4 linked regions of the Alligator mississippiensis genome follow. The protein of the gene in region 1 purifies or fractionates together with the protein of each later gene. This does not show direct contact. Links are inferred from orthologs where the notes say so. Each region holds a gene or a part of one and is shown in the gene's direction. Other genes may lie near its edges. The genes, in order: FUS, SF3A3, CDC5L and SF3B3.

Region 1 (7,776 bases):
CCATTAGTTTTGAGTACATAATGTTCTCTCCCCGCTGCTTTTCCCTGTAAGTGGGGGCATGTCCACCTGCCTTTGGCCTGCTCAATTTAAAGGGAAAGGAACCTTTTGGGTTTTGTCCCCTTTTCCACAGCGTGGGCATGTGCCACATCAGAGGGTGCGTGATAGGCGGCTAAATACGGTATGTTGCAGTGATCAGGTTCTGTTCATCCAAGATGCAGGCTGGATTTAGCCCCCTCCCCTGATCTGTCTCCGTAACCTCATTGGCCTGCTTGCTACCTCATTTTCCACTGGTAGGATGTCAATTACCTTATTTATTGGCATATAACTCTCACCTGCCCCCCCCCCACTGAAAATGGGGGTCTCCAGCTGGCTCGGGACAGTACGATTTAAAGGGGAAAATCATTTTGATTAGTCTTCCCCAAATGGCGGGGCGGGTTTCATCTGAGAGCGGTGGTAGTCGCACGAATACGGTGCGCTGGGAGCAAGTTACGTCAGCGTCCTGTACGCAGGCCGAGGTCACCACTGGGAAGTGGGCAAGTGAAAGGTCTCCTCCCCTCGTTAACCTCACCCCCGCGGCTGCTGCTTTGCATCACGCTCATATAGTGCCCGTTACTGTATTAATGCCTATTATCACAGTAATTGGTACGCATGCTCACATTTTTCTCTTTACCCTCTGCCTGGTCTCTCTCGTTTACCTCCTTGGTCCTGAAGCCTGGTCCAGCTGCTGCTCTGTTACGCCGCTACCATGGCAGTGCCCGTGTTTATTGGGGTACAATGTCACTTACCACACTTACTGGTATACAACATTCCCTTTTTTATCCCTTTCTAGGACTGTCTCGTCTCCCTCCTCCCCCTCATTGGTTTGAACCGCCTAAATCCTGGTCTGGCTGCTACTTTTTGTTACACTCATGTAATGCCAGTTACCAAATGTATTGGTGTATAATGTCGGCTACCGTATTTATTAGTATACAACATGCTTTCCCCCCACTCATGACTCTCATTTCCCTTATTCATGCCACCATTGGCTTGAATGGCCTTACTCCTGGTCTGGCTGCTGCTTTGTGTTATGCTCAGATAATGCCAGTTACTGTATTTATTGGTATACAACACTCACTTTTTTCCTCCCTCTCTACAACTGTCACGTCTCCCTCATTCATCTCCTTGTTTAAATGTTCTAGATGCTTTGATTTTTGTTGTTGATTTTTCTTTTGGGGGGGGTGTTAATCGGTGTCTGAATATGTTTCCTCTGGCTCTGGCTCTGGCTCTGGCTCTGGTTCTTCTGGGCTTCCGCCCTCCTCTTCCTCCGGGTCCGGGGCTGTGTCTGCTTCCCCCTCAGCCCCTTCCCCTTCCTCCTGGGGATCCCCCTCATTGTCTTCCTCCCCCTCCTTGTCTCTTGGCGTTTCTTCTTCCTGCTCTCCTGCTCCTGCAGCTGGTTCGGGGTGGACACAGTCCCTCTCCTGGCGCTCAGAGAATCGCGATGGCTGCGCGTCTCGTTCGGGGTTGTAGAAATCTAGCCAGGCAGGGAGAAACGCAATTAATTAATTAAAAAGCAGAGGAGGGAACAGAATAACGGGAACAATGAGCTGTGTTTTACTGTGTTTTCTAGTGCACAACCCGCCTATTTTTCTCCCCACTATACCACAACGCTAATCTCCCATCTCCGTTTCCTTTTGCTTTGCGTGCTGGTCTTGGCACGTTGATGAGGGGACAGATATTCTGCCACTTCCCCATCCAGTCGAGGGAGAGGAGCTTGGTGGTTCCTGGGTAGAGCTTTTTATAAAGAAAACCAAAGCAAAGAAGAAATGTAGGTGGTTTGGAGGTGGCGGGGAGGTTAAACATGGCAACAGGGGTGGTGCGAGCTCAAATCCAAGCCTACGCTGTGCTGTGTTGCATGCAGGAAAACATGGTGAAGGGGCACAGCTTACCGTAGAGCGAGGGCCGGGGAAGCGGCGGGTGCAGCAAGGCCTGAACGGAGCCTGGGAAGAGGGCGTCCACCTGCTCCAGGAGGGCCCGGCAAGCCGCCTCCCCCTTCTTCTGAATGCAAATGAGCAGCTTCCTGACCTTGGGCCCTGCCCCCGGCGTCTGGTTGAGGGCGTCGTATTCGTCCTCACTGAGGAGCGACTGGGCCACCAGCTCGTCCAGGGTGTTCTCGGGATCGCGCCCGATGATGTCCACGAGCTCCTGGCGGTGGTCGCGGACGGCGGCGTAGCTGCTGCCAGCCGCCATTGCCGGGCTCTGCCGTAGCTTCTAGCGTACGACGCGTCTCCCCTTTAAATCACGCATGTGGCTCATTTGGGAAGAGGCAGAAAAAAGAGTTCCCACCCCCCAGCACCTCTGAGCCCAACCATTCAGCCTTTTCCTTTCAGCCGTGCCCCTCCCAAAAGCGGCAAGGGGAGGCACCTTACTTACTCACCTACCACGCGCCTCTTTCCCCCCAAAACTCAGGGAATGGAGCTGGAAATGGATGCTGGAGAGTGCAGTGACATGGGAAACTTCCCCCCACCCTCCTTTCCCAATGAAGATGTGGGCTGCAGTGACAGGCATGTGATACATGAATAAATATGATCGTTTGCTGTCCGTGTCTCCCCTTTTTTAAGCGGTTTAGAAGTTGTATCCGAAGCCAAAGAAATACGATGGGTGAATTAGTCAGGCCTGTATTCTTCCAAAGGCTGGAGGGCCGTAGCCACCCCTACTTCGGCATGCTCTAGCTTCTGTATTTTCTAGCGCACAACAGGCCCCTTTGCTCGCCTCTGGGAGACAGGTGTGCATTACACGTCAGAAAATACGGTAACGCCCAGGCTGCACTGCAGGGATCAAGGCAGGAGAGTTTCTCTGTGGGGCAAAAAAATCAGCTTTCCTGCTTGATATGCACCCTCCAAACTTGTGGGGGCTGAGTTGGGGGCAGGGATCGCATGTTATATGCATGAAAATGCGGTAATAACACAGCTGCCGCAATGGGGATGACAGCAAGGGGGCTTCCCTCTGGGGCAAGAAACCAGATTCCCCCCTCGTGCACCCCGCCTCAAAATATGGGGGGGCAGGCACGTGCACGCTATACATGGGAAAATATGGTAATGCCAGAGCTGTTGCCTTATGGGAGGTGGTTCAAAGCAGCAGCTGGTCCTTGCCCTGGGGCAATACCCAGCTGCCCCCTACCCCAAATGTGGGGGGTGATTTCTGGGAGGGGGCAATAGCAGCACGGGCTAGGTTTCTACTGTATCTTCCCGCATAAAAGTGCCCTCTCCCTGGTTCCTTGTAGGCCTGATCCCTGGGGGGGGGGTCAGTTTCTCCCCATCAGCTGGGCGGGGGTGGGGGGAAGGAGGAGTCCCCCGTGCCCCTATTTCCCCTGCCCCATCCCCCCCCATCAGGCCAAGGGGGTGATGGGAAGAAGGCCCAACCTGCAGCTGAGTCACGCAGGCAGCGCAGCGCAGCGCAGCGCGTCCCGTCCCCTGTGCCCCCCGCCTGTCCCGTCCTGGGGGAGGCGCCGGGCTGGCCCATGTGGGGGGCGGGGGGGGTGCACTATTTGTGTCCTGGAGAAGCTGAAGGGGAGGGGGGAGCGGTTACCATACTTGCTTGTGTATAATACTCCCCTTGATGACAAAATAATCTGCTGCCTTGCAGAAGGGCCTCACAGCAGATGAGCGTGGCATGGAGAGGCACCCCCCCCCCGGGCTCCCCCCCTACGCTCCACACAACCCCGCCCAAGCCCAGGCGTCCAGGCTGCCCGCCCCACTGTCCGGGAGATGGGGGGTAGGTGGGGGGGGATGTGGGGGGTGGCAAGGACCATTGGGCTCCCTGTTGCCAAGGCAACGGCCCAGCTGGTTTAAGCCGGTCCAGACTGGTGAGCCTGGTGTTCCAGGGGAGGAAACCATTGAGCAGGCGTGCGGGGGGGACGGACAGCAAGGCCTGTGGGCCCAGAGCGCGACCCAGGCGTCCAGGCCACCCACCCACGCGCGTGCACACACACCTCCGGTGTCGTGGCATCGCACACACACACAGATCCCAGGCGTATAACCTGTGTGCATGTACATGCATGCGTGCACGCACAAAACCCAGGTGTCCGGGCCGTGTGCGTGCATGCACCCACACCCACACACAGCCCCCCCCCGAACTTGCAAAACAATTCCTCTTTCGCGTACACACACGTGTGCATGCACAAACAAGAGTCCCCAGGTATCCAGGACACACACACACACACCCCCCAGGCATCCAACACGCGCACGCACACACACCCTGTCCACAAAGGCCCCATCTCTCTCACCCCCTTCCGCATCCTGCACAACCCCCTTTCCACCCGTACCCCCCATTGCACACCCAAGTACACACACCAATTACACCCCCACTGTGCATCCATTTACACTGCTGCACACCCACTCGTATATACCAGTTCACACCCCAGCGCACACACCATTTACACCCCCATTGCAAGCCCCCAGCCAGCTGCAGCTTACACCCCCCCACTTCTCCCACATGGTTCCTTCCCCCCTCCCCCCCACCGCCATGAGCTCATCCCTCCCCCCCACCGCAGCCCCGCGGACTGTACCATTCCTCCTCCCGCGGGGAGGGGCAGGAAGAGCAGCACCCTCCCCTTTCAGAGCACGACAGCAACACCGGGGAGGGGGGCAATCCGCACGCGGGGGGGGGGAGCGAGGGCTCAGGGGAAATGGGGCGGGGGGAGACGAAGCTGTGCTGCGCTCCCCCCTTTCTGCGGATGGTAGCGGCCGGGGGCGGGGCGGGACGGGGCGGGTATATCAAGGCCGGGGGCGGGGGCGGGCGCGCAGTGCGGTGCGGGGCAGCGCGGAGGGAGGACATGGCGTCTAACGGTGAGGGCTAGGCTGCTTTTCGGGGTGCAACGTAGGCGCTGCAATTAAGTCATACAATGGTGGGGAGGCCACGGGGGTGGCAGTGACGTCGTGCAGTGCTCGGGGCTACGCATGGACTGTAATGTGAGGACTTCCGGGGGGCAGCGAGGTCGCGTGCTGGCTTAAGAGGGCAATCGTGCAGTGGCGATAGCGGGGGCCGCGGTTACGTCATGCGAGGGGTTGGTGGGGGGTGAGGGACGTCCAGGGGAGCTCTAGGGGGTGGAGTGATGTCACGAGTCGGGGCATGTCGTGACCTCATGTAGGGGGCGGGGGGGCCCCTGGGGTGCACTTACCTCACGGAGCAGGGGTGGGTTGGGATGACGTCACAACGGGCGGGGGGGCCTGCCACGACGTCATACAAAGGGTTGGGGGTACCTCGGCAAGCCCACCGGAGCGCGACCTGGCGCAAAGCTTTGTGGGGGTGCAAGCTAGTGTTCCTCCGTTTCTGGCCCCCGGCCGTGCTGGAGGAAAGCCAGCGCCCGCCATTTTCCGGGCGGGCGGGGCCCGGCGGTTCCCTTTATCCAGCTGCGCCATTGGGCACCATTTTGTGTGCCAAGATGGCGGCGGCCGCCGTCCCCGCGTGGGCCGGAGGGAGCCGGCTGCGCATGCGCGCCGGAGGGGGGCGCGGGATTTGCGTGGTGGCGCCTGCGCAGTGCGGGAGCGTCCGGGGCGGGCCGGCGTGTGCGCAACGGGCCGCTGCGGCGCCCTGGGGTTAGTGCGCATGCGCAGTCGCGGCAACTCCGACCGCTCTTGCTTCCCCCCCACGTGCGTCCCTGGGCGGAAGGACACCCGCGCGCGTCCGCGGATGCTGCGGGGGAGGGGGGAGCAGGCACAGCCGTGAATCCCAGGGTTGTCTCGGTACCGTAGCAAGTGCTGCCTTCCTGCCTTCCTTGGGGTGACATGACTCCTGCTACCCCCCTCCCCCGCTACAGGCACTGTCCCTTGTGCCGGGGTGTGGGGCCGCCATGCCCACACTGACGGGGGGGGGCGAGCTTAGGCTTTGGGGTCCTAACGGTTTCTCTCGCTTTTCTCCCCGTCTTGCAGATTATTCCCAGCCGGCGACACAGAGGTAATGGCACCCCCCCCCCCCCCGCCGGCCCTCGTGGCAAGCCTGGGCGCAGGCCCTCGCCTTCCCTGTCCACCCAGTGCCCCATTTCCCAGTCAGACCAGTGGGCCTGTTCTCTTAGTGTCTGGTTTTCCCAGTCCCATCAGAGTTGCATCCTATCCAGCGTCCCATCTTCCCAGTCAAACCGGTGGCCAGTCCTGTCTTATGTCCTGGCCGAACAGGGCATCCCGTCCTGGGTGTCGCCCTCCCAGTCCAACTCGCCCCTGTGTCCCCCCAGTCCAGCCAGTGGCCCGTCTCCTCCTGTACCCCCCCCCCCCCCCCCGGTCCAGCCAGTGGCCCGTCTCCCCCCCCCCCCCCCCCCCCCCGGTCCAACCAGCAGGCCCACTTCTGGCGGGTGCCCGCACCCAGGGGCTAGGAGGATCTCACGTCCCCGGGCGTCCTCTCTTGCAGCTACGGGGCCTACCCCACTCCGCCGGGGCAGGGCTACTCGCAGCAGGCCAGCCAGCCCTACAGCCAGCAGAGCTACAGCGGGTACGGGCAGTCGGGGGACACCTCGGGCTACGGCCAGAACAGCTACAGCTCCTCCTACGGCCAGACGCAGAGCAGTACGTCTTCGTGTGCCGCCCCCTCCCCCACAGCCTGCCTACCTCCTACGTTCACTTTCCAGCCCTGCCTTGCACATTTGCTGTATTCTCTTTTTCCCAGCCTGCCTTGTATATACATCTCCCTTCCTGGCCTGCCTATATCTACATGTTCCCCTCCCCCCAGCTGCCCTGAGCTCATGCGTGGATGCATGCATGAGATATGTACACATGTGAATGCACATGTGGGTATTACGTATGGACATACGCGTGCCTGTTTCAGCTGGTCCGTAAGGTTCAACTCTTCTTTTTTAATTTATTCTCCTCTGCGGCAAGAGAGGCTCACCTCAGCCACGGCAGAGCAGCAGCTCTCTGGTTTTGCTCCTTTGGCAAGTCACCCCCAGCTTTGTTTTTTGGCAGCGTTTGATCTCGCTTGTGGCAGCCTCGTTAAAGCATCAGGTCTACATCCTCCTTGCCGGTGGCGCTCTCCTGAATGCTTCTTGAGCAGCTTCTGTCTATTAAATTGGCTCTCATAATTTTTGTCTTACGCGTTGGGGAAACTGAGGTGTAAAGGAGTGCCAGTCCATAAGGGCAGCAGATATTGGGGTGGGCGGTTTGTTCACTTTTGGGGTACAGGTGTTGAAAGAGGTCTGTGTTCTCCCCCTGCCAGGTTATAGTACTCCGTCAACGCCACAAGGCTACGGGACGTCAACAGGGTACGGGAGCAGCCAGACATCACAGAGCTCCTATGGGCAGCCGTCCTCCTACCCTGGCTACTCGCAGCAGCCAGCAGCCAGCTCTTCCAGTGGAAGGTATCTGTGGGAAACCCAGGCCCCTTGCTCTCACCAGCACCCGCTCACCTCCCCTCCTGGAGAGCCAGGTGTCTGGGTCCCCAATTCCCTGTAATCTAGCCCAGCAGCACGCGGTCCTTGCCTAGAGAACCTCATCCTGCAGCTGTCACTGCATCTCGGGCTCCTCCCAGGGTTTCTTAGCTCTGAACACTACACCCCCTCGCATCCCCTCCCAGAAAACCCAGGTGTCCAGGCTCCCATTCCCCTCTGTTCTCACCTACGAGACCATGTGCAATTTGCAGAGAACTTGGGCATCTGGGTCCCCAGTCCCTGTGTGCCCCCCTCCCAGGCCAGGAACCCAAGTGTCTCTCAGATCCCCTGCCTACAGCCCCATGTCTTTTCCCTCTTGCCCCAGCTATGGCAGCAGCTCCCAGAGCAGCGGTTATGGGCAGCCCCAGAGCGGCGGCAGCAGCAGT
Region 2 (7,857 bases), on another chromosome or scaffold:
CTGCATGCGCCTCCCTCGCACACTCCCCGCGTGCTTCTGTCCTGCAGCCTTGGCCCACTGGTGCTGCGGGCCCCGCACAGTGTTATGCATGCAACTCGCTCCTCTACGGGCAGCCAGGGCCTGGCGGAGCCCCTCGGGCGACAGCTTGGACGCAGGCACGTTGGAGGCGGTGGGTGCTTTGCGTTCTGCCCCGGGGAGCTTCCCAGAGAAGCGCCCTGAGCCCAGCCTCCTCGCGTCTGTCTCTGTACGGCTTTGTGTAATAAACCTTTTTGGGACGACGTGCTCCGGGGGGTTTCTCTGGGCCGGGGGAGACGACGGTTGGGACGAATGCGGTCGAAAGGGGATGGGCCGGCTTGCATCTGCTGGACCACGCAGGGTTGCCGGTCCCCAGCAGCAGCCGGCGGCTTCGTCAGAGCTCGGTGACTCTCCGTGACGTTGGAGGTGCCGTCTCCCCATCGTGGCTCGCTCTGGGCCGCGGGGTCCCCACCTCCGGCCCCCACGGCGCGGCGACGCCGCTCTCCAGACAGAAGAAGCTGGGGGCTGCGCGGCACGAAGGACGCGGCCCTGCGCACCCTTGGCTCTGGCTCCGAGCAGCTTCGTGAGAGCATCGTGCTCCATTGGGACCTCCGTGCTCCTGCTGCCCCGTGACCCAAGCCGGGCTGTGGGTCCCCGGGGCTGCTGGCTCTTTGCTGGAGGCCGAACAGCCGCCGGCTCCAGCGCAGCCACTGGTTCGTGGCTCGGCCCACGCGCTGCAGCCTGCGCCGTTCCCAGGGCTTAACCGCAGCAGGCTTCCTGGCGAGAGGGCCCCCGGGCTCCTCTTCCAGCTGGGCTCCGGCGCCTCACGTTTTTCACCAAAAAAGGCAAGGGCCCAGCTGCACGTCGTGCGGGAACATCTGGATTTCATCCCTGTCAGGAGCGGGTCACGGGACGCGCCGCGCGGGGCTGGATTTACGGGAGGGGGCGGGGTGATGTCATGCACACGGGTCCCCCGAGAGCTGGCGGAAAACAGGAAAGGGGGAGAGAGGCAGCTGGGCAGGACGGGGAAAGAAGCCGCCCCTGCACCCCTCTCTCCCCCTGTGCAGCTCTTGGCCCCGGGGTGACGGGGTGTTCGAGGCCGGGCATGCCCCAGCTGGGCTTCCTGCACCCCTGCCGTGGGCCTGAGCCCTGGGGCAACTTGCCCTTCTCTTAGCACGTCCGTACGAGCATTGCTGGCCAGGAACCAGAGCTGCCGGGTTTCGCAACGGCTGGGGGCCATGCGCCAGCTCCAGACATCCCCACCTCCCGCTGCAGGACGGGGCAGACTGGCGACGGGAGGCTCGGTCCTTCTCCACGGGCTTTCCCTATGGTGGTGAAGCCCGGAGAGAGCCCCTCCACCAGCCAGAGCCGGCGGGGTGGGTGGGTGGGACGCGACTTGAGGTTCAGGTGTTCCCCTCTCCTGGGCTGGAGTCTCGGGCTGGGGGAACGGCGAGTCCGGGGTCTTATCTCCGGCTTTATTTTTAGCCAGGCGTTCATAGGGAAGAACCGAGGCGGCTCGTGGGAGAGCGATGGCACGCGATAGCCCCGGAGTGGGCAGCGTCCTCCCAGCGGAGCAGGGGAGCCCCGGGCAGGCCGTGCCCAGTCCACTTGCTGCTGCTGCTTTCATCAGCCTTAATTTAGCTGCCAGCAATGTCACGGCATGGCAGGAAAAGGCCGGATCCCTTGGGGCAGGGACTGCGTAACGAGAGGGGGGTGTTGACTGGATACCTCCACCCCCATCCCTGCAACGCTGGCCAAGCAGAAACCCCACAGCCAGCGCAGGGGGCCTGGATCTGAGCCGTTAGCAGCTGCTGGGGATGAAGGGAGCCGGGGCTGTCGCATGTGGTGGCACAAATGATTGTGCCCCCGGGGTGGACAGCTGCAACTGTGACCAGAGACTGGGAGCTGTCACATCCCGAGCAGGGGCCCTAGGCGTGTCCCTGCACCCCCAGCTGCGTGTGCCCTGAGGGACGTGGACCCACTGCGGGGATCCTCTGCAGGGGGGTGGGTGAGTCCTGCACTCATGGTGCGTGCAAGCGAGTGCTGGGAGAGAGAGGTGTGTGTGTGTGTGCAAACGTACACGTGTTTTGGCTGCACGGCACCCATGTTAGGAGTCGCTGCAATGCCCTGCTCCTCCCTGACCCCCTCTCTGCCCTTCCCAAACACCCTCTTGGCCCCTTCCCCTCCGGCAGGCACGTCCCGTGGCTGCTGTCCAGCTCCGCTCCGAGTCCGCGGCCGAGTTACCAGCCTCCCCCCTGTGACTCTGCCCTTCCCACTCCGTCTTTGTTCCTTGAGAAAGGTCGCTGTGCCTCCGCGCAGGTCACTCCTGCTCCTGCATCCAACTGGCAGCATCTCCCTGCCGCTTGTGCCACCATATATGGACAGTATTGGGGAGAGAACCATCCGCGTGGGGCTGCAGGCGGCTTGGCCGCCGGCCAGCGGGAGGGCTTCGCTCAGCTGAAACCCCTCCACGTGGCCGGGAGAGAGCGCGGCCCCCAGCTCCTGGCTGTGCACAGGGCAGGCGAGACCCCCAGTGGGGCAGGGCAGCGCCAGAGGGGCCCACACGGTGCTGGAGAATTGCAGCCCCCTGTTAACCTCCCTCCCACCCCAGCTCAGATGCCCCCGAGCTGAGCGGGGTGCAGCACATGCAGGTAGGTGGCTGCAAGGACTGGAGCAGACTCAGTCAGGAGGCAGAGCCCATCTCGGTGCATGGTGCTTGCTCGAGGTGGCTGGCACTGCTGGCGAAGCCCCTTGCTGTGGGCAGTGGGCCAGCCTATGTCAGCTTGCACCTGCATTCCCACGCTGCGCTGGGAACGGGGCCTGCTGGATTATCTGGTTCTGGGCTTGCCCCTTTCCTCCAGTTTTGCACAGTGCTGAGCAGTCAGTCTCCCCTGCAGCTGCTCTCTAACTTGCTCCCATTTCAGTCTCCCATTTCACTGGGAGTAGGGGAGCAGGACACCTGGGGAAGCCCAGAGGATAACAGCTGGCTGACCCGCCGGCCTGGGGCACATCCTCTTGCTGCTCCAGCTGGAGGGAGCCAGAGCTCAGCCCCACGAGGAGAGGGAAAGAAACGCCAAAGCCATCTCACCTTGAGAGCAGGGAGAGATTGATTGCAGGCTCTTTCCCAGGACAGCTCAAGCTTGCCATCTGCCGGAGGCAAAATAAACGCTTGTTCCTATTTCCCTATCCGCCAAAGGGGCGCGTGGCGCTCCCTTCCAGGGAAGAGCTGCCAGCTGATCATAAATGAGACGTCCCCACATTTCAAACGGCGTTGTTATTAAAGTTGTTGCAGCCACGATAGACAAGGAAATATATGAGAAGCATTTCTTTCTTTTTAAATAATACCTTTTATTGGACCAACTGTATTGTGGGGAGAGGCATGAGACCGCTTCAGGCACAAAGGGCCCTTCAAGCATCAACTGGAAATGCTGCCACGAAGGGCATGTTCCTAGCTGGCTCGTGCGCCTATCTTGCTGCAGCTGCTGCTGGGCTTCCCAGTGCCACCGCACGCACACGAGCTACTCGTCTACACGCGTGAGGCCATTCGAGCTCTCCCCGCTGCATGGGCACCGTCGACACCGCGACTCCTGACTGCCCTGCCGCTGCCGCAGCTTCCATCACCTCTTTGTGGGGTTTTCCAGTAAGCACCTTTGCACGTCAGTGCATCCCGCCGGCTACGCAGGGGCGGCGCTGCCCTGAACCATGCTGCGCCCGCAGAGCCCTGCTGAGCAGTGGCGCCGCACCGATCCTTCCAGCTCCCAGCGTCTGTTTGCTGCAGCTCCCTGCTCTCTCCCGTCTCTCATCGTAGCCTGGAAAATCCCTGGGGCAGAGCCTGGGCCCGTCCCTTCTCCAGCGCCGCTCACCCGAGCACGCGCGTCCAGGCCTGAACGTCCAGATTCAGCTTCAAATGCCGGGGGGGGGGGGGGGGGGGCACCACTGCTTTAAAAAAATATATATTATTTGTTTATGAATCCCAATGATCAAATAAGAGATTTCACGTTTCTAGATGCATCCAAGCTCCTAAAATGCACATAAGGAGAGGTGTTTATCGCCTCCGCGAGCGCTGCCGTCACCCGTCGGCACGTGCAGGCACCTTGGCTCGGCGTCCTTCGGTCTCTGCGAGTCGCTCCGTGGTTCCCGTCGCCAGGTCGCTCCTCTGCATCCTGCACCCCTCGTTATCGTTTGCTCCTCTTTTACATTTCACATTTCACACCGGGTTTCTCCGCTCGTGGGCCGGGCGTGTCGAGGCTCAGACAGGTTTCTCAGACGTCCTGGGCTGGAGCCGCGGTCTTTTTCTGCAAATTCCCCAAATTTTAACAAATTCCAAGAATCCCCCCCCCCGGTTTTGTAAGAGGGCCGGGCCGAGTCGTGGGCAGCGGTGGTGGCAGACGTCTCACCGCGCTGGACCCGTGCACTGAACCTACGCACACGCGCACACCCTTGCACGTGCTGACATATGTGCACACTCACACACATTCTGGCATTATGTGCACATGCTCATGCACACATGCTCACGTGTATGTGCACATGTGCCCACACGGGACTATGTGTGTGCATGTGTGTCCCACCCACACGCTCACGTGTGCACACCTGGCGGGTTTGGAGCCGAGCCCCTGCGGAGCGGGAGGGGGAGGGGGCTCTTTTTGCGGCGGAACCTTCGCGCCAGCAGCAGTTTCCGTCCGGACGCAATAGGACACCCCACGTGACTTCCGGCCGGCGCGCCGGAAGTGGGAGGAGGGCGGTAAACTCGGGGGCAGCAAGGAGGGAGGCGGAAGTGGCGTAACCGGCTTCCGGGCGGCAGGAGGGGAAAGCGGAAGTGGTCCGGGGCTGCTTCCGGGCGGCGGGCGGGAGGGCCAAGATGGAGACGATCCTGGAGCAGCAGCGGCGCTACCACGAGGAGAAGGAGCGGCTCATGGACGTCATGGTCAAGGAGATGCTCACCAAGAAGTCCACGGTGCGCCTGCGTGCGTGCGTGCGTCAAGGGGGGAGGGGGTCTGTGGATGGGGGGGTGTATAGTGTGCGTGTGTGTCAAGAGGGGGTCTGTGGATGGGGGGTGGTGTATAGTGTGCATGTGTGTGTGTGTGTGTCAAGGGTCTGGATGGGGGGTGTATGGTGTGTGTGTGTATAGCGTGTGTGTGTGTGTGTGTGTGTCAAGTGGGGGGGTCTGTGGATGGGGTGTGTGTGTAGTGTGCATGTATGTGTGTGTGTCAAGGGGGGGTCTGTGGATGGGGTGTGTGTGTAGCATGCGTGTGTCGGGGATGTCTGGATGGGCAGTGTGTGTGTATAGTGTGCATGTGTGTGCATCAAGTGGGGGGGTCTGGATGGGGTGTGGATGGTGTGTGTGCGTACGTGTGCTGTGTCAAAGGGGGTGTCTGGATGGGGGGGTGTATAGTGTACATGCGTGTGTGTCAAGCGGGGGGGTCTGGATGGGGGTGTGTGCGTGCGTGTGTGTCAAGGGGTGTGTGGATGGGGGTGTGCGCGTCAAGGGGGTGTGTCTGGATGGGGGTATGTGTGAGCGTGCGTGTGTATGTCAAGGGGGGGTCTGTGGATGGGGGTGTGCGCGTGTGTCTGTGGTGGGGTGTGTGTGTGTGTGTGTGTACACACCTCTCCGCCACGTCTCCCTGTGTGCGAGTGCACGCGCTGCCCAGCCGCGTCTCCTAGCTGGGAGTGAAGCCGCGCTAACATCTCTCCCTCCCTGTGTCTCTTTCTGTGCCGGGCTGCAGTTACGGGACCAGATTAACTCGGATCACCGCACGCGCGCGATGCAGGACGTGAGTACCGCCGCCGCCCCGTCCCGATGCCCGTGGGCCACCCTGGCCGGGGGGGAGGCGGGAGGGAGCGGGCACGGCGCAGCGCGGCGCGACAGGGACGTTGTGGGGATACTTGAGAAACGCCCCAGAGCGGGGCGCGGGACGCGCGGTAAAAGGGAGACGTCCCGCCATGCCTTGTGGGCAGCCCGTCGGAGTCCAGCGGCGCGCTGTTATACGACCGACCACGATGGCGCTTAAACACCCGGACATCTCTGTTTCTGAGTGTAAATGGAAAAGGGCTTGTGCTCTTCTTGCACGTGCTTTGTGTGACGCCCCAAGGTCTCTTCCCCTGCGTTCTCCTGAGGGTGCTTAAGCATTTTGTTGACCTGGGTTTGGGCAAATGGAGCGTGGGTTAGATGCGTTTACTTTGAGCCCCAGCACCTGTACGGCTGCTGTAAGTTTTGCATGGAATAGAATAGGACGGGAAGGGACCTGTAAGATCCTTGAGCCCGGTCCCCTGCCTTGGGCAGGAGGTAATCGGGCTCAAACAAGCTGAAGGAGATGCTGTTTACAGTTACATAAATATTACATTGTAGCCCCTTACTGATAAGCTGACTTCCACCGAAGAGCACAAAATGACTTGGAAACGTGATGCTGTTCCTGGAAACACCTTCAGCAGCTAAATGGACCAGTGTTGCTTTTATTGCTCGTTAATGAGCCTTTATTTGTTGGTACCAAAGGAGCAGCGGATAATTCTGTCTAATGAGAGCCCTCAAGGAAGCCTTTTCAGCTACTTTGTTGCGCGGTACTTTGTTGCAGAAGTGCAGGCAGAGCATTGACATGTAGTGTGCTCTTTTCTCAGAGGTACATGGAAGTGAGTGGCAATCTGAGAGATTTGTATGATGACAAAGATGGGTGAGTGTTTGCCAAAATGCCTTGTCTGACCTTTCCTAGAGCTGAAAGCTCTGCAGAATAAATTTCACTTTTGTGCTCTGCAAAGATCCCAAAGGAATTGATGGTATTGAAAGCCTACTTGGAACAAAAAGTGCCAGGGCTGTAGTGCATGTAAATCAGCGCACCTTTAGGGATTAAAAAAGAAGAGGTTTTGTTCTGCTTTTTCCTTCTTCTTTTCTCCATAATAAACTTAAGTTTCCTTCCTGGATTTTGACCTCGCTTGCCAAGACGGGAGGGAAACTTTTGTGTTGATTATATATCATTAACAGGGGATATCTTTGGGAATCCTAGAGCAATCTGATTAGTACCATAGAGCAGCATGTTGTTACGGAGGGCTGTTGAACACTGTCTGATCCAAAATGTTTCGTGGGGTGGGAGACAATTCAGCTGTAGCATACATTTTCTAAAGTGCCCTGTTGGAGAAGTAGTGGCTTGATGAGATTCAGTTAGTGAAGGTGCACAAAAGGTCAGGTTTATTTTGCTCTCCTGAGAAGTCAGTCAACCCCAAACAGAGAGAATTGTAGTCCAAAAGCCAACAAAGTGGTTATGTGTGGGTGCTAATAAAACTCTCCGGGTTCATTTTAAGACCTAGTATATTCAGGTTTTCCAGAAAATCATACACGCCAGTGGCATCTGACTTCTGTGTTTGAACGTTTTAAACCAATGCTCTGGGTTTACTGCCGAGCTGGGTTCTTTATCATGTGAAATGGATGTGTTTTTCTTGGACTAGACCCGAAGGCCCGTAACTGGGGAGCACCTTACCGCATTATAGGTGACCAGGAGAGCTGGACTCCCAAATCCAAACCTTTCCGAGTATGAGATCTCTGTGCAACTGTTAAGCGTATGAAATTTAGTTGAGGGCAGATGGCCGGTTTTGGGGGAATCTTTCGTGTAATTGTGAGATGAAAAGAAATGGGATCAGCTTTGTAGATGCTCCTTATCCTATCCTCTGTTGCCCTCTCATTTGATTCAACTTGTTTCTTGCGGAACCTCAGGTTACGGAAGGAGGAGCTCAGCGCCATTTCGGGGCCAAATGAGTTTGCAGAATTCTATAATCGGCTGAAGCAGATCAAAGAATTTCATCGGAAGCACCCAAACGAGGTCAGTGGCCCTGCGCTTTGTGTGGGGAAAAGAGACG
Region 3 (7,631 bases), on another chromosome or scaffold:
ACATGCACTTACAGGAATGTCGTAAATATGATGATTCTTACCTGTATTTAGGGAACAGTTCAAAACGTATTAAAAAGCAGTGTAAAACTCAGGGCACAACTCTAAGAAGAAATGATCTTAGTTCTGTGGAAGACTTGGAGCGTGTCCATTCCATGTTCAGCCCAGAAAGCTTTGAGAAACCGATGGATCTTTACAGGGGCAAAGAAAGCAAAAATGCTCTGCCATCACAAAGTCAAGCCCAATACTACAAGTGTGCAGAATGCAATTACACGACATACATTTTAAGTAACCTTAAGCTCCACGTCATGATTCACACAGGTGAAAAACCCCACGCCTGTGATATTTGTGAGAAGAAGTTTCGTACCACAAGTCACCTAAATCGACACAAGCTCCTGCATTTCAACACGGAGCTCTTCAAATGTAAAACCTGTGACTATTCAACAGACAAATGGCAAACCCTCAAGCAGCATCTGGTTACACATATAGATGGTACCAAGCTCCAAGAGCAATCACCATTGTCTGTCAAAACCTACAGGTGTCAAGAGTGTGGCTATGCCACTGCTCACAGTGGAAACCTGAAGCAACACTTGCGAATTCATACAGGTGAAAGGCCGTACACGTGCAACCAGTGTGCTCTTGCTTTCCGCACATCGAGCCACCTCAAGCGCCACTTGCTGACTCATTTGAAGTTACACTGCAATTCCTGTGAGTTTTCCACTAGGGATAAATATGCTTTGAAGAAGCACATAAAAGTGCACAAGGATAAACCTGCAGATACCTGAAGTTCAATATAATGCTTTCCATCCTCAGTTTTGTATAGAACCATCAATCAGCAGTGTTTGAAGACTAGACAGTAAAATAGGATTCATTAAAATTTGGGGTTATAAGCTCCAGGAAGTTCACAGTATTTCAAACATGTTCTTTGCCCTGCATCCACTATGCCAACTGTCATCAATTTTAAAGTTGCCATGGTAAAAATTGTGGAAGCATCCATGGGATCTGGGCTATAGTACACTGAATGGAAATTAAGGGATTATGCATAAAGCGGGCGTAAAACACATGTACATTTTCAATTTAAGTTCCATCATGTGCTGTGTTAAAAAGACTCAAAGCTGTTAAAAGCCCAATGTAGTTTAAGAAAAGGGTGAAAATCTAGGCCAGGGTTGGTATAGGAAAGAGTTGTTCTGTAAGTGCCTACCTGATTGATAAACACACTTTTGCACCACCTACCATTGCCTTGTGAGCAAGGATGTGAGGTGCTATTTGAGTTCCTGTACTTATTTTCAGTACAGGCCCCACCTTTATAGTAGGCTGATCTTTTCTGTACCACATGATTGAGATGTGCAGACAAAACATATTTAAGTGAAATAATTTTTAATCCAATTCTTTCTAGCACATCAGCAACTTGCAAACTAAAAATTGCAGAGTTGTGTGAAAAATTAGTTGAAAATGGATCCCTCCTCCCATTTGCTGTATGTTGCAATCCCTGTTCTGGGGGTTTTCTATACCAGTGTCCAGAGGACGGACTTAAGAAAATAACTTATGGAACCAGGTCATTGCAATCACCAATTTAGAGATGTACAATGCGGGTTAAAGGGTACGTGTAAACGCATTCCAGTCAATAGACTACTAGCCACTGATCCACGTTGACATCTTGCCTTTTCAGTCTTGGAGAGGAGAAATGAAAGACTTTCCAGAGTCACCCTCCACTGCTTTTTTGAATGTGGCAACATTCCCAGTTGAGAACCACTGTTGTTGCTGGCTCAGCTTACCTCAGTGCTTGTCAACCGGCTGTTGCTGCCTCCAGATAAAACTGCCCTACTTACCTGCTGCACAGCCAGACTGGGAATGGCCGTGGCACTTGTGTGTGATCCTCCTGTGTAGGGCTCTCTCATTAACCTAAAGCAGGCAGGAGCTACCTCCTCCTATAGCCCTTCCCAGTCTGGCAGTCCCGGGAACAGTTACACCTGTGCGCCTCTTTCTCATGCCTCTGTTTCCAGGTCGAGTGGGAACGGGGACAGACTGGGAAGACCTACAGCCTGAGCCAGCTCCTGCCTGCTTTAGGGTTATCAGGGAACTCTAATGCAAGAGTACAATGTGTGGCATCGCAGCGCTCCTGCGGGTGTCTCGTAGCACTCTGGTTGAGAATTGCTGATGTGAATGCATCTTTTGATGCTTATTTACTTTTCAGGCAGCCTGACAGAAATAATCGTCTATATTTTGCATGCCACCGTTTTAGTGGCCTAATTTTGTGAGATGCTGAGCATCCTCAAAACTCATTTCTGGATAAATACCAAACTTGTTTGCAACCAAAAAAGTTGGAAGTGCAAGTTACAAAGCGTGGTTGGCTCCAGCCGAGCCCACCACTTTTATCCTAGTTATTGTGCAGCCCAGTCCAGAAAATCTTCTCCAGGGTCATAAACATTTCATAGAAAAAGTATGGGTCTTTTAATTTTTTCTTATTATTTTAGCTAATAGTTATTTAAAGGAGACTTTTCTTAGCACTGCTTGTTTCCCATGTACCTTGTTTTTTACTAAAATTCATAACCCATGAAGAGTTTTGTTTATGTAGGATTTTATATCAAATAAAGTAAATTATTTTAGAAGAGGTGACTAAGTTGATTCCTGCATCTGTTATAAACGTGGACTGCTGTTTCTGAAAAATACACTTAAGTTCATGTTCTGCATTGCTGCCCATATCATTTGAAAAACTCTCTGCTACCCATATGGAAAAGATAAATAATGGAAACGTGCTGCATCTCTATTCATCAGTTTGTATAGAATTGTGTTCAGATAATGTACATGGTTTTGATGTACATTTCCACTATTAAAGTCTTAAATGTGTTAAAATAACCTTAGCTCAAAAGTTGGTAAAATGCAGTGTTAGCCATTGAAGTATTTACAGCTTTGCCTTTATAAACAGATTAATATGGCTTCTTCAAAATGCAATGAATACTGTAATAATTGTAAGATTTTAATAACCATTGTAAAGCAGTATCTTGGAATACCCTGAAATTTTTCAAAATGCTTCTGTGCTGCAGTGATCACAAACTGATTTCAAGCTACTTCATTTTATCAGGGGTTTTTTTAACTGTCCCTCTAAAACTGAGTGTACAAAGGCTGCTCAGCAAAGCAGTGGCTATTTCATTTCCTAATAGAAATACAGCTTGAGGGACCAACCACTGGGCCCTTTACTCTGGATACAATAGTAGACATTAGTAGACAATAGTAGATACAATAGTAGACATTATTTGCATGTCCAGGATGTGCAGTGGCAAGATTGCTTAAGCAGGGGCTGAACCAGGGGATTTCTAATGGCAGGGGTTGCTTAGGGTGGCTTACTTGATGCGATTATCCCAACAGAGGTAGAAATGGGGCGAAAGTAATACTAAGAATCCCCTAATCTGCTCCCCTCCTTACTGCTACACGTGTCAGGATGTGTTTAAGCCTCTCTAAGGCATTGGGTGTTGGCTACAGGGAAGGCTGAGGATTTTGGCTGGGATGTGCTAATGTTTCTGCTGAGACCAAAGCCAGAAGTTCCTGGTCTTGCCCCTCTGCTCAGGGTCAGACCAGTGGTCATATTTGAGGTCAGGAAGGAATTTTACCCCAAGGTCAGATTGGTATAGACTGAGAGGGACGGAGGGATTGCCGTTCTCTAGCAGGGGATGTGGCTCTCCCTGGGATGTCTTGAGCAAATGTTAACAACCTTTTATTAAAGGACATTGGCCCAATGTCCCAAATTGCATTCTTGCACCTCTGGCAAGTTAGGGTGTTACATCTTGTGTCACATCAGGATTGACAGTAATTGTACTAAGTTTATTTAGATGACGGCTTTGCGCAGGAAGCTTTGGATAGGGACGATCCTGCCTCAGGCAGGGGATTGGACTAGGTGACGTCCGGAGGTCCCTTCCAGCCCCGCTTCTCTAGGACTTCCACAAAATGATCTTGCATAGAAAAGGTACGTTGCAAACAAGGATGTCAGCGCGGGCGAAGCGAACATTCCCGACCAGCACCCGCACGTTTCTCGTGGATCAGAACAGACCCGTTGTCTTGCAACGGTGTAGGTTGTAGCCGTGGTGATCTAAGGATGTAAGCAGATGAGGTTTTTTCGGGGGGGTAAATCTGATACCAGATTTCCCCAAAGACCCTTGTCTTGCAAACACGCTTTTTAAGATGGGTTTCCACAGCAGGCAGACGGGGCATTCAGTGGGGGCGGGTTTCAGACGCAGGATCTTCATCTCGGGCAAGCTCCTTGACCGCTCCCACGACCCCAGCAAGGAGCCAGAAATACTGCCCCTGGTCTGCAGTAGCCCTACAGTTGCCAGGCCTCCAAACCCACACGCACTGGTGCCAGTGCAGGGGCAGCTGTATGGCGCGGGCCCTGGGGCTTGCACTTGTGCGAGGGTTTCAAGGGAGCCTCGCCAGCGAGCACAAGCACCTGCGGGGCAGAGCACGGACACACGTGGCCCTTCAGCGATCCCCGCGCCAACATCACCTCCGCGCGCCAGGGGGCGCTAGATTCGCTCCGCGCCTCAGCCCCTCTCCCCGCCTTCTGCGCCCGCGCATGCGCGAACGGTGGCCGACATTCTCCGCTGCGCATGCGCAGAGCTCTGACACTCGGTTGCCCTCACTGAGCCTGCGCAGAATCCTATCCCGGCCTGCGCACAGGCGGCGGCGGCGGCGGCGTCTCTCCCCCGTCCGCCCCGGTTTTCTCCGCTGCGAAGCCCGCTCCACTTCGCCGCCAAGATGCCGCGGATTATGATTAAAGGCGGGGTGTGGAGGAACACCGAGGTAGGCCCTTCCCGTACCCTCCCGATTCCCACGGGGCCAGTCAACGGACGGCGCTTCTACACGAGAGCGCATGCGCCGAAAAGGGCCCGGGAGTCCTGCGCATGCACTTATAGGGGGAGGAGGCTGGGAGACGTGCGCATGCGCTTTGTGTGTTTGTACTGGGCTGCTTTCCTTCCTTGTGGCCAAACGCAGCTCAGGTCTCTTGGGCTCACGTGGGAGATTAAGGGATTCTTAGTCCCGCTTTGAGTTTTTGTTTTTAACTTCTCAGTCTCCCTCCTTTGGGGTGGTGGTATATGGAGTAAGAAGCTGCAAAGCAGCCCTCTGCAAAGAGAAGTCCTCTGGTTCAGCTCCTGCCTAAGCAGCCTTCGTGCTGCTTATTTTGGGGCAAAGCACAAATAATCTCTCATCTTCAGGGATCCTCCCCCCACCCCCAAGACGGGCATAGAGCAGGGCTGGGCAATTACTTTGGGCAGAGGGCTGCTTACTGAGTTCTGGCAAGCCATCGAGGGCCGCATGACAGGCAGCCAGAGGCAGATTAATATTAATTTTCTAAATTATTTAGGGCCGCCACGGGTCAGATAGAATGTCCTGGCGGGCCGCATCCTGCCCACCCCTGGCATAGAGGCTTGGAGATCTCATCACTGGATGATTGACATGAAGCAAATGATTTGTCACGATAAAAAACCGCTGTGACTGTTTCACTGTCACAGAGTTAATTGCACCCATGGGCCGCCCCCTCCCCCCCCCCCCCCCCCCGCTACACATGACCCTTAAGACACAATTGACCAGGGAATCGTGTCTGAAGTGGTGACCCGGCCACATGCTTCATAAATTACTGGTGTGGTAAAAGGAGGAATAAGTCATAAAATTTATTTTATAAAATATGTGCCGTTGCTTCGTGGCTTGTTCTTATCGCACCATTAGTTGAACATGTGGCCACCCCTGTGACGGGGCTCAGCTGTGCACCATGCACGCTGCAAGCCCTGCAGCTGCTGGAGTTGCAGTCATGGCAGTGTCCCACGCATTGTCACAGCTGTGAGCCCCGTCAGCTGCAGGGGTCACTGCCACAGGAGCTTGCCACTTGTCAGTGCAGGAGAAGTTGGGCATCGTGATTTCAGGGTCCCCCCGCATAAGCAGTAAGGCATGATTGGATCTGATGTTGAATGCCACAATCATGCTTCCTGCCATGTATGTCTGGTGTGGCAGGAGGCATGATAGTATGGATCATGCATCAGATCCCATCACACCTTTATCTCAATATCTAGAAGGGCCCTGTGTTACCAACTGCCAGCAAAGAAATAAAAACTACCAAGAAAAGGGAATCTGAGGCTTATGAAAGTAAATACGTAGAGCATGTTTCATATTAAATACTTAATATTCTCCTGAAATACCCTGCACCAAAACTCATCAGCCTCCCGTTAAAGCCAGAGCGCACTTTGGAAGGGCTTTTCGGTGTTAGGAAAATTTACCTGCGATCGGCACCATTAGCTGCTGAACTGGTGCTGAATATATGTTGACCCCAGCTGTCTGTTGTCAACAGTGGATGCCCTTCCATTTTGCCCCACCATATCCTTAGTCAAAGCTGTAGCAAATAGCGATGGAGCACTTCATAGACTGCACTTTTTATGGCCCCCTTGTGTGCTTTTGGCTGCACAAAATAAGACTTCTGGTTTCCACTCAATTATTTAGGAAAGCATTGTCTTCTGCCCCCAGGAAAGTCTCAAAAGGGGTAACAAGCTTTTCAGCTTTTGAGCATTTGAAAGCTCGTCTAACTTTATCCCAACTATTCAGCTGTCCAGTAAAAGGAATCACCCCCAAAAAATCTTTGCCTCTCCCATAGCTTACTAAATCACTTATAGGAGAACAAAAGTTTACTGTAGGCCTAAGGGGCAAATATAAGCATGTAAACCACTAGCTCTACTAGTACAGACCTGGTGCAGGCAAGCTGGGATAAGTTTGTGTAATTTGTGTTGCATCCCTGAAGCTTCTAGTTTTGCTCTGCATTTGTACAGCATCTAGCATGGTGGAGTTCTGACCCATGACTTGAACTGTCAGGTACTACAGTCCTGAAAAATAAAGACACCATCATCTTGAAATAAAGACTGCTTTAAAAAAGTAGTCAGTTTTAGCTGTATACCTGCCCTGATTTTCATGATATTTACACGGGTGTGCATTTTTTAAAAATAGGATGTTCTTGCTCCTTGAAAGACCCACACAAACAATGGAAATTAACCATACAGGAGAAATGGTGAGACTGACTGTTCCCCAAATGCTGTTGTATACTCAGAATAAATGACTGTCACTATTTTCACTTCATTAATCACATCTACCTTCAGGTGTTAACCCTTGCTGAAGCCTTGTCTACATTTCCCTGTTGAGTTGCAAGTGAGCATTTGGCTCTGATAAAGTTTACTACTGACCCATAGTAATAACAACTATTTCTCTTTTTAAGGATGAAATTCTTAAAGCAGCTGTAATGAAATATGGCAAAAACCAGTGGTCTCGGATTGCTTCTTTGTTGCATAGAAAGTCAGCAAAACAGTGCAAAGCCAGATGGTAAGTGGAGAAGACAAAAGCCATTACTGGCATTCAAAGACAAAGATCATTCATTAATGAATTTAAAAGGTCACTGTTGAGTTTCCTATTGGTTCAGGTCTAGCGGAAGAAGAAATAGTTTCAAAATTTTTAATTGGTTACGTTTCCTGAAGGTATTGCAAGGACTTATTCTTTAAAAGGACTATGAGCAAAAGTAGAAAACTATTCAAATTGCAGATGATAGCAATAACTGCACAGTATGCAAATAACTTGTTTAAAAATGCAAATTATTGGACTAAATCAAA
Region 4 (7,661 bases), on another chromosome or scaffold:
TCACTTAGTAATAAGATCCTTTCTTAACACTCTCTTTGGATCCAAGTTATCCAACCCTGTTGTGTGTCATAACCTCTAAAAGCAAGAGCCCACAATTTACCTGACTAAACAGCCACACCATCAATACCAATGCAAGGATTTTACCTACCCTCCTTGCCCTGTCGACTGAGCTCAATGACTGACTTGTCCAGAGACAAGTAGCGATGGATATGAGCTGCTGCTTGCTCATAATCTTCATTTCGCAGAGCTGTTTGAACCCATCCATGCAGAACTTCAGGTCCAAGATGTCATCAGCTCTCTGGATGGCCTGATAGAGGCGGTTCTGCAAGAATAGCAGTTGAGATTTCCTTCACCTAGCTGGACTAGAAAAGAGAGCTATACAGAAAAGACAATATAGCCAAAGGGAAAGAAAAATGTGACCCATGGAGTAAGGGGTTACGATCACCTTGTCCCAGACAGGACTTCAAGGTCAGCAGGGTGCTGGGTGAGTAACTTGGCGTCCCTAGGTAGCTGATGACTTGAAAAAATCATGAGAATCCCAAAATTAGGTTGGAACCCAAAAAGGTACAGCATATAGAACCAGACTATAGGTCTCGCCTTTATTAGGAAAGAATAGCCTACAGAAATCACAGGGGCTACTCCGCACACTGAAATCTGCAGTCTCGTTTTACAAAGCTCCACTCCGTCTAGTTACCTTGGCAAGATCAAGCTGTCGGACTTTGCTGCTGACATTCTCAGCCAGATTCCAGGTGAAAGTGATCATCCCCGCCAACTGCCTGGCATCCCCCTCAATCAGTTGCAGGTTGGGGCTGGAAACACACATGCAGATAACAGGTGATACACAAGAAAAGCAGATCTGAAGCAGCAAGGCGTTATACGTAATCCCCCATCTTGTGCCTGCCAGCACCAGTCTTTTAACTCCTGTCAAAGAACATGACAGTGGCATGAGTTGAAAGTCAGATCCAAGAGTCTTATCTGGAAGATAGCAGCACCAAAGGGCCTATCTACCTAACATCTCTCTTACTAGCAATAAAGAGGTGAAAGGAAATACAGTAAAAGCTGTTATCCGGCATCCCCCAGGAATGCCAGGGTTAATCAAATATTCCAGTTAATCAAATGTGCACCATCTGGTGCACTCCCTGGGGTCAGTGTGCGGGGGGGGGGGGGGGGGGGGGGGGGGGGGGGGGGGGAAGGAGCGGGCCGGGCAGGCTGCTTTGCCCTGGGCCGTGTGCCAAAGAAGAGGCAAAGAAAACTCAGCTCAGGGCAGTGAAATGGGAAGTCCCCCAGAAGTGGAACTTCCAGTTTCACTTTTGCCACATCCCTTGGATGCCGGTTAATAGAGTTTTCCAGCTAATAAACTGCCGGTTAACACAGCTTTTGCTGTAGATGTATAAGTTTGTCCTTTTTTAGGGCAGGAAGTGTCATTTTGTGCTCTAGAATCCAAGCTTTTATTAAATATAAAGCTCCAAGCCTTATGATTGTAGAAATAACCTATGCATTGAACTCTGCAAATAGATTCATTTGTATATATCCAAATCTACAGACAACCTGAAACAACATATTTGAAGAGGCGCATTGTTCATATTCAGAGATGTTAGTGCTAAAGCCTAATACCAACAATACCCACTGGGAATGACAGCTCATTTTTTGACATTGTAGGAGAGCTGCAAGTATCATTACCTTCATTTATCACAGTGACTCAAAGAAAAGATTATTCTATGGCATCTTTCATGTCAAAGCACTCTTTAAAGGGAAACAGATTTACTCAGTAGTGAAAAAAAAAACAAAACACCAGCATTTGTGGTATAATGAAGCAGCTGTTGAACAACATAGGGTAACAGCATACAATAATTTAAAACTAGAAGGAAAAAATACATATGCATTTGAATCTAGGCCTTTTTCCCCCCAAGCAACCCTCCAAAATACAAAACAACTGAAGAAAAATAAAAAGCAGGGTATTGTCACTGAAGGACTGATGTGTTTACTAACCCCATGCGATGAAGAGCAACCATCTTGTTCTCTATGGTACCCTGTTGTTCCAACAGGGCCTCCAGCTCTTCTTCCACCACTTTCTGAAAAAGAAAGTGGTCCTATGTCACTTTATGACACTTTCTGGCCAATCACTAATGTCACTAGCTTAGAAGCAAACCCTCAACATCAATGTAGGAGTACACACCAAGGAGGGCTTCTGAAAACTCAGCTAATAACACAGTCTGTCAAAAGCCCCAGTGTTCCATCTTAATCTGGTTACATTTACACTCCAGTCTAATTTCAAGGGTCAGTTTTGAAACCTCTATCATGCAATGTTAAAATAAATCCATTCCTACATTGCCTCTCCATACCGAAGATGTTCCTGGCTTAACTGTCTATAAGAAAAGATCAGAGTACAATAGTATGCTCCAAAGTTAAAAAAAAATGTGAATGTTGCATAGGCAGGATAGTCAGTCTGTCAAGGTTGAGGGCAGGAAGCCTGTAAACCTCTGTACCAATCTCTTATGGCCAGCTAATGAAGCTCTAGCAGAGACATCTAACTTTTCTTGTTAGATGCTTTGCCATTATGACACAGGGAAGGGGAGGAGAGGGGTACTCCACCTTTTGGCCCCCCAGGCCAGATGAGTGACCCCACCCTCATGCCCCACATGCTGGGACTGGGTCCTGAGAGGCCAGTGCTGTCCCCTTTCACCTCCTGCACACTGGGATCGAGTCTCAGGGGGCTGGCACAATCCCCTGCATACCAGGATTGGGTCCTGGGAGCCCAGCACTGTTCCCTCCCACACCCATGAGCCAGGATTGAGTCCTGTTGGCCCAGCACCACCCTGTCCAAGCCCCCCACACTGGGATTAGACCCTGGGACTGGCACACCCTCTGGCCTGCTATGTGTGCTGGGATCAGGCACTGGATCTAGCACACAGGGCCTGGGGCTCTTCGTGGCTCCAAAAATGTGGCTGCAGGGGAGTGGTACCAGCATTCCCCTACCACCAAGTTTCCAGACCTGTGGGGAGCCCCAGAGACCAAATGACATAGTGCCATGGGCCACATCTGGCCCACACTCTTTCTTTATGTTATCTCACCAAGTTATACCCAAATGCTTTTCTGAACCAGGAAATGGATGGAATTGTGGTCCTCCCTATATTCTAACACACAAGAACAGTCCTGGTAAGTTGTTTTACTTCCGTTTGTTTTCACAAGCAAAACAGGTGGTCTTGTTTTCACAGGAGGACAAAACTGGATTTGCACTGAGTGAGGCATCAGCTTGCTTGTTTGTACTGAAAAACCATAAATGTGGTGAGGGTCTCTTTCTGATGTCTCTTCTTTCCCCTGTATGTTGGGCTTTTTTTCCCTCCAAAACCTTCACTCCAAGAGTTGTTTGCATACAAGGCTTAATGGCAAGTAACAGCAATTAATTTAAATTAACCCTGGCTGGTCCAAGAGTGGAAACAGATGCCATCTGATTTCCCATTTGTATCACCTTCAAATTTTTTAAGGCAGTATAAATGCAGAATAGACATCCTTGCCCTTTTTTGCACCACCTAATAAGAGAATCAGTGACACAACAAAAGGGAGTAACAGACTCTGCTGCTTCATTGCGGTGGGCACCTCTTACCTTGTGGCACTTACCTTGCTTGGGGCTGACTGGCCAGGGAAAGCCTCTCCTTTCCCCACTGCCCCAGACCTGCACTGTGGGTTTGGGGCAGCAGGGAAAAGTGCTTCCCTGCATAACCAGACCCTGAGGTTAACTGAGCTGGGGAAATCCCAGCTTTCTCTGCTGCTCCACACCCATTCAGTGGGTCTGGGGCAGCAGGAAGTGCTTCTAGTCAGCCAGCCCTGACAGGCCCTTCAGAGCTGTCTGGACAGGGGAAGACCTGGCACTGCTGCTGCTCTAGACTCACGCTGAGCAACGCAATGCGGGTTTTGCCCAATGAAGTGAACGGTGACTAAGCTGTGTGGCACAGCTGAATCACTCCACTCTGCCACTTCTAATTCCAGCCCAAGACAAGGGGTTCATTTGGATGCTTCGCACAGGCTGTAAGGTCTGGGGTCTGCTACAAGATGAGCTAAACCCAAACAGACCAAACCTGGCATCTATTTTTAACCAAAGGTTTAAAACAAATTCTGCCGGGACAAAGTCTTGTATCCCAGGACCCTGCACATGAACAAGTCCATGTCCCACTGAGAGTGCCCGCAAAGCTCCAAGATAACGCTTCTACTCCCAGGACAATTGGAGCTAAATTGGCTAAAATCAGATGGCTGCTGGCTGAGCGTGGCGGCCTCCCGGGGCCCTAGGAACGGACCAGCTCGCTGTCCCGCACGAAGCACGGGCGCAGGATCCGACCGGACGCTTCGCCTCGCGGCTGGAACCGAGCGCGCTGCGTCCGAGCTGCCCCGCGCCCGCCGGGGGCGACCCCAGCCCGGCACCAGCTTCCAGCCCAGTTTCAGGAGAAGCCCAAACGGGGCGGCGCAGAAGGCGCAGCCGGCCCGGCCCCACCTCCTCTGCGCACAGGCGGCCATAGGCGGCCTCCAGCTCCCGCAGGTCGGTAAGCGCCCGGATCCGCTCCATGGACAAGCACGAGCTGCCGCCGTCCGCGCCCGGCGCCCTCAGGGCCCCGCCAGCAGCCGCAGCCATCCTTGCCCAGGGACGTCACTTCCGAGAAATCAAAAGCCCCAGCGGGGTCTGAGCGGTCGTTGGGGCTGCTGCCCAAGGTGCCTGAGGGACACGCAGCCTTCTCAGGTTTGGCTTGGCCGAGCGAGCGTCCCCAGGCAGGAGCGGGGGGGGGGAGACGTCGTGGTTGCGGCGGGGTCAGAGCCGGGCGGAAGATGCCCACGGGGTCCTTTCATCGGTGAGGTCAGGCGATCCGAGGGCAGCCCCGTGTCGCTCGCGTCGGGTGAGGAAGGCCCCGGCGGGGGGCGGGGCGGCAGAGCGCGCGCACAGGGCTCATGGCGCAGCGGCTCTGCGGGCTCGCGGCCTAGGGGAGACGCGCGGCCGCCATCTGTTGCCATCCGCCCGGTAGGAGCCGCCGCTTGCCGCCATCTCGCGTCAGGCCGGGCAGCGCGGGCCGGGCTCGGTTTCGGTACTGTTTCCTCCTGCGCCGGCATCAGCGAAGGCTGCGGCGCGGCCTGGGCGGGAAGGGGCGGCGGGGTTGCCTTCTCCGGCCTGGCGGCCCCCGGACGCCTTAACTGCGCTCCGCTGGGGCTGCCCTGATCCCGCCGCGCCTCTGCGCCCTTCGTGCGGCTCCGGGACCCTCCCCCGCGTGCGGGTCGCGGCCTCCGCGTGCCCCGGCGCCGCGTTCCCAGGGAGGAGGTGCGCGGCTTAGTAGAGACCTGTTCCGAGGCCGGCTCCTCTGATCCCACGGAGGATTTTAGGGGCGCAGTTGCGTAGGCAGTTTTTGGGGGCCGCTGTCACTGTCGTACCAGTCTCTGGGGGAAGCATCTGCTCGGGCAGGGAGGTTTCACTGCTTGTGGGGAAGTGTGGCTGAGGGCTCGGGAGGGGGGGAAACATGTCCAGGGCAGCCTAGAAATCTTTCTCCACTTTTTTTCCATATAATCTTATTAAGGGCATTGTGTGACACAGACAATGGACCTGCAGACTGAAGTGGACCTGCTTTATTTGTTTGGTGTTGTCCTCTTTGTTCCTCAGCTTCTGAGCATGTCTTTCATACAGGGTTTCCCTGATTCCATTGTTTAATTGCCAGCCACACCTTTCATTGCACTGCTTCAGGCTCTGAAGAGTAGGCAGAATGAAGTACTTCAAGCTATGGTTTGTAGTGTTGTAATCCCCTTCCCCCCCCTCCCATTTTAATTAAGAGCAAACTTTACTAGTGAGCACAGCAGTTTGCCTGTTCATGGAGGAGGAGGAGGTTGTGCTGTATTGCTGGCTCTGTCCTGGGTTGTAATCCGCAACTCATCCCTCTTGTACAGGCAAGGCTATTAACGTTGATGAGACTAAAAGTGAAACCTTGCTTTATTATTCCTTCTTGTCAGCTCTTTCAGATAAATTACTGCAAAGTAAGAGCTCACTTTGTCACTAACCTTCTGGGTTAAACCCTCACAAGTAGGGCTAAATGGAATTAAAGTAAACAGGGATCCAGGACTGATAAACCATTATAACACTGTTTGGAAGACCATAGCAGCAGACCATCATAGCCTATGCAGTATGGGCTTGTTGCACACATTCATGTGCCTGCAAAACCTGATACCTTGACTCTATCATAAAAGTGAAATGAAAATTGCATCTATACAAAAAATGACTTTAAGCATGTATTTCTATGTTAAATTAGAACATTTAGCATGAACCCTTGTATATGGCTGTAAGGGATGGAAATATGTAAAGCTGACATGCATTGTTCATTTACAAATGAATTAAATAACATTTTTCAGAAGCATTGTAAGACATTCGTGCAGACTTAGCAGACAAGATTAAGCTGCTGGCACTTTTCTGTTATATTGAAATAATGTGAAAGTAAGCACTAAATAGATGCAACCTGTTTTGCAATTGGATGTATTCCTGATTTCTAGCTATTTTGTTTATTTGCAGTGGACTCCATAATAAAGCTGAAACATACGCAGTGAAGTAGATTTATCGCCACCATGTTTCTTTACAACTTAACCTTGCAGCGAGCCACTGGCATCAGCTATGCCATCCATGGTAATTTTTCAGGTAATGTCTGTTGTCCTGACTGTCTTTTTGTTACAAGTTACTTAAATATAACATTAGTTTTTCACTGACGTTTTGCTCTTGTGCTATTAGCTGGGTTGACTGACATGTTCAAATTGAGGGAGAGATCTGGTCTTGAGAACTTCCAGGAACTTTAGTAATTCGAGGCCTTGTCTTCACTGACTTGGGTGGCTTTAGTTAAGTCACTTTGCTCTTTGTGCCTCAGTGTTCCTGTCTGTAGAATAGACAGCCAAACACTGAAATATCTGGTCATTAATGATTCTAAGTGGCTTTGACTTTCTCTCCTATAAAGTATCAGGTTTGTAACAGTATTAGTATTGTAACATTGGTCTTGTCCTTGCTTGATTCTTCCACTTGCTTATGTTGATTATTGATTTTTCTCATGGCTTTGGCTTCTTAGGAACAAAGCAACAGGAAATAGTTGTTTCACGAGGGAAGATCCTGGAATTGCTCCGCCCTGATCCTAACACAGGGAAGGTTCATACCTTGCTGACTGTGGAAGTGTTTGGAGTCATTCGTTCCCTCATGGCCTTCAGGCTGACAGGTGGAACCAAAGACTACATTGTGGTTGGCAGTGATTCAGGGCGCATTGTTATCCTAGAGTACCAACCCTCCAAGAATGTGTTTGAAAAGATCCATCAGGAAACCTTTGGCAAAAGTGGCTGTCGCAGAATTGTTCCTGGTCAATACTTGGCTGTGGATCCCAAGGGTCGTGCTGTTATGATTAGTAAGTCAATCTAGGGATCTGGTTGCAGCATTTTAAAGGATTGAATGGTGGAAACAACATCCTTGAAATTATTAACTTGTGTTGTCCTTACCTCAAGGAAGATAGCTTTTGCACCATACTTTGTCAGCTGCAGCAGCAAGTATGCCTTGCAGGCAGTTTTCTAGATTTCCAAATTTTGCCATCAAAGATCCAGATGTTTAGAATTGTTCCTGCCTGTAACCATGATTGCACAAATGAATTCTAAAATTAGGCCAATAAGAT

The links.
Region 2: the proteins of FUS (region 1) and SF3A3 purify together in Homo sapiens (affinity purification with mass spectrometry; 3 studies listed by BioGRID and IntAct, with this or other methods). This does not show direct contact. The link is inferred for Alligator mississippiensis from reciprocal best matches to the Homo sapiens genes FUS and SF3A3.
Region 3: the proteins of FUS (region 1) and CDC5L purify together in Homo sapiens (affinity purification with mass spectrometry; 4 studies listed by BioGRID and IntAct, with this or other methods). This does not show direct contact. The link is inferred for Alligator mississippiensis from reciprocal best matches to the Homo sapiens genes FUS and CDC5L.
Region 4: the proteins of FUS (region 1) and SF3B3 purify together in Homo sapiens (affinity purification with mass spectrometry; 3 studies listed by BioGRID and IntAct, with this or other methods). This does not show direct contact. The link is inferred for Alligator mississippiensis from reciprocal best matches to the Homo sapiens genes FUS and SF3B3.

What each region holds. Positions count from the first base shown.
Region 1 is NC_081830.1:432,206-439,981, reverse strand, and holds the start of FUS (RNA-binding protein FUS), read left to right. Parts: upstream 1-4,770; 5' UTR 4,771-4,810; coding exon 4,811-4,823; intron 4,824-5,155; exon of another isoform or gene 5,156-5,523; intron 5,524-5,906; coding exon 5,907-5,931; intron 5,932-6,378; coding exon 6,379-6,533; intron 6,534-7,179; coding exon 7,180-7,321; intron 7,322-7,715; coding exon 7,716-7,776. Other genes in the region: nucleolar protein 3, read right to left, coding at 1,221-1,510, 1,926-2,226. UniProt on the Homo sapiens protein: DNA/RNA-binding protein that plays a role in various cellular processes such as transcription regulation, RNA splicing, RNA transport, DNA repair and damage response. Binds to ssRNA containing the consensus sequence 5'-AGGUAA-3'.
Region 2 is NC_081829.1:1,211,984-1,219,840, reverse strand, and holds the start of SF3A3 (splicing factor 3A subunit 3), read left to right. Parts: upstream 1-4,844; 5' UTR 4,845-4,873; coding exon 4,874-4,969; intron 4,970-5,738; coding exon 5,739-5,786; intron 5,787-6,627; coding exon 6,628-6,680; intron 6,681-7,714; coding exon 7,715-7,820; intron 7,821-7,857. UniProt on the Homo sapiens protein: Component of the 17S U2 SnRNP complex of the spliceosome, a large ribonucleoprotein complex that removes introns from transcribed pre-mRNAs.
Region 3 is NC_081824.1:11,837,509-11,845,139, forward strand, and holds the start of CDC5L (cell division cycle 5-like protein), read left to right. Parts: upstream 1-4,624; 5' UTR 4,625-4,746; coding exon 4,747-4,791; intron 4,792-7,243; coding exon 7,244-7,347; intron 7,348-7,631. Other genes in the region: zinc finger protein 107, read left to right, coding at 1-782.
Region 4 is NC_081833.1:36,190,251-36,197,911, forward strand, and holds the start of SF3B3 (splicing factor 3B subunit 3), read left to right. Parts: upstream 1-4,653; 5' UTR 4,654-4,729; intron 4,730-4,896; exon of another isoform or gene 4,897-5,005; intron 5,006-5,050; exon of another isoform or gene 5,051-5,069; intron 5,070-5,664; exon of another isoform or gene 5,665-5,755; intron 5,756-6,532; 5' UTR 6,533-6,585; coding exon 6,586-6,655; intron 6,656-7,073; coding exon 7,074-7,400; intron 7,401-7,661. UniProt on the Homo sapiens protein: Component of the 17S U2 SnRNP complex of the spliceosome, a large ribonucleoprotein complex that removes introns from transcribed pre-mRNAs.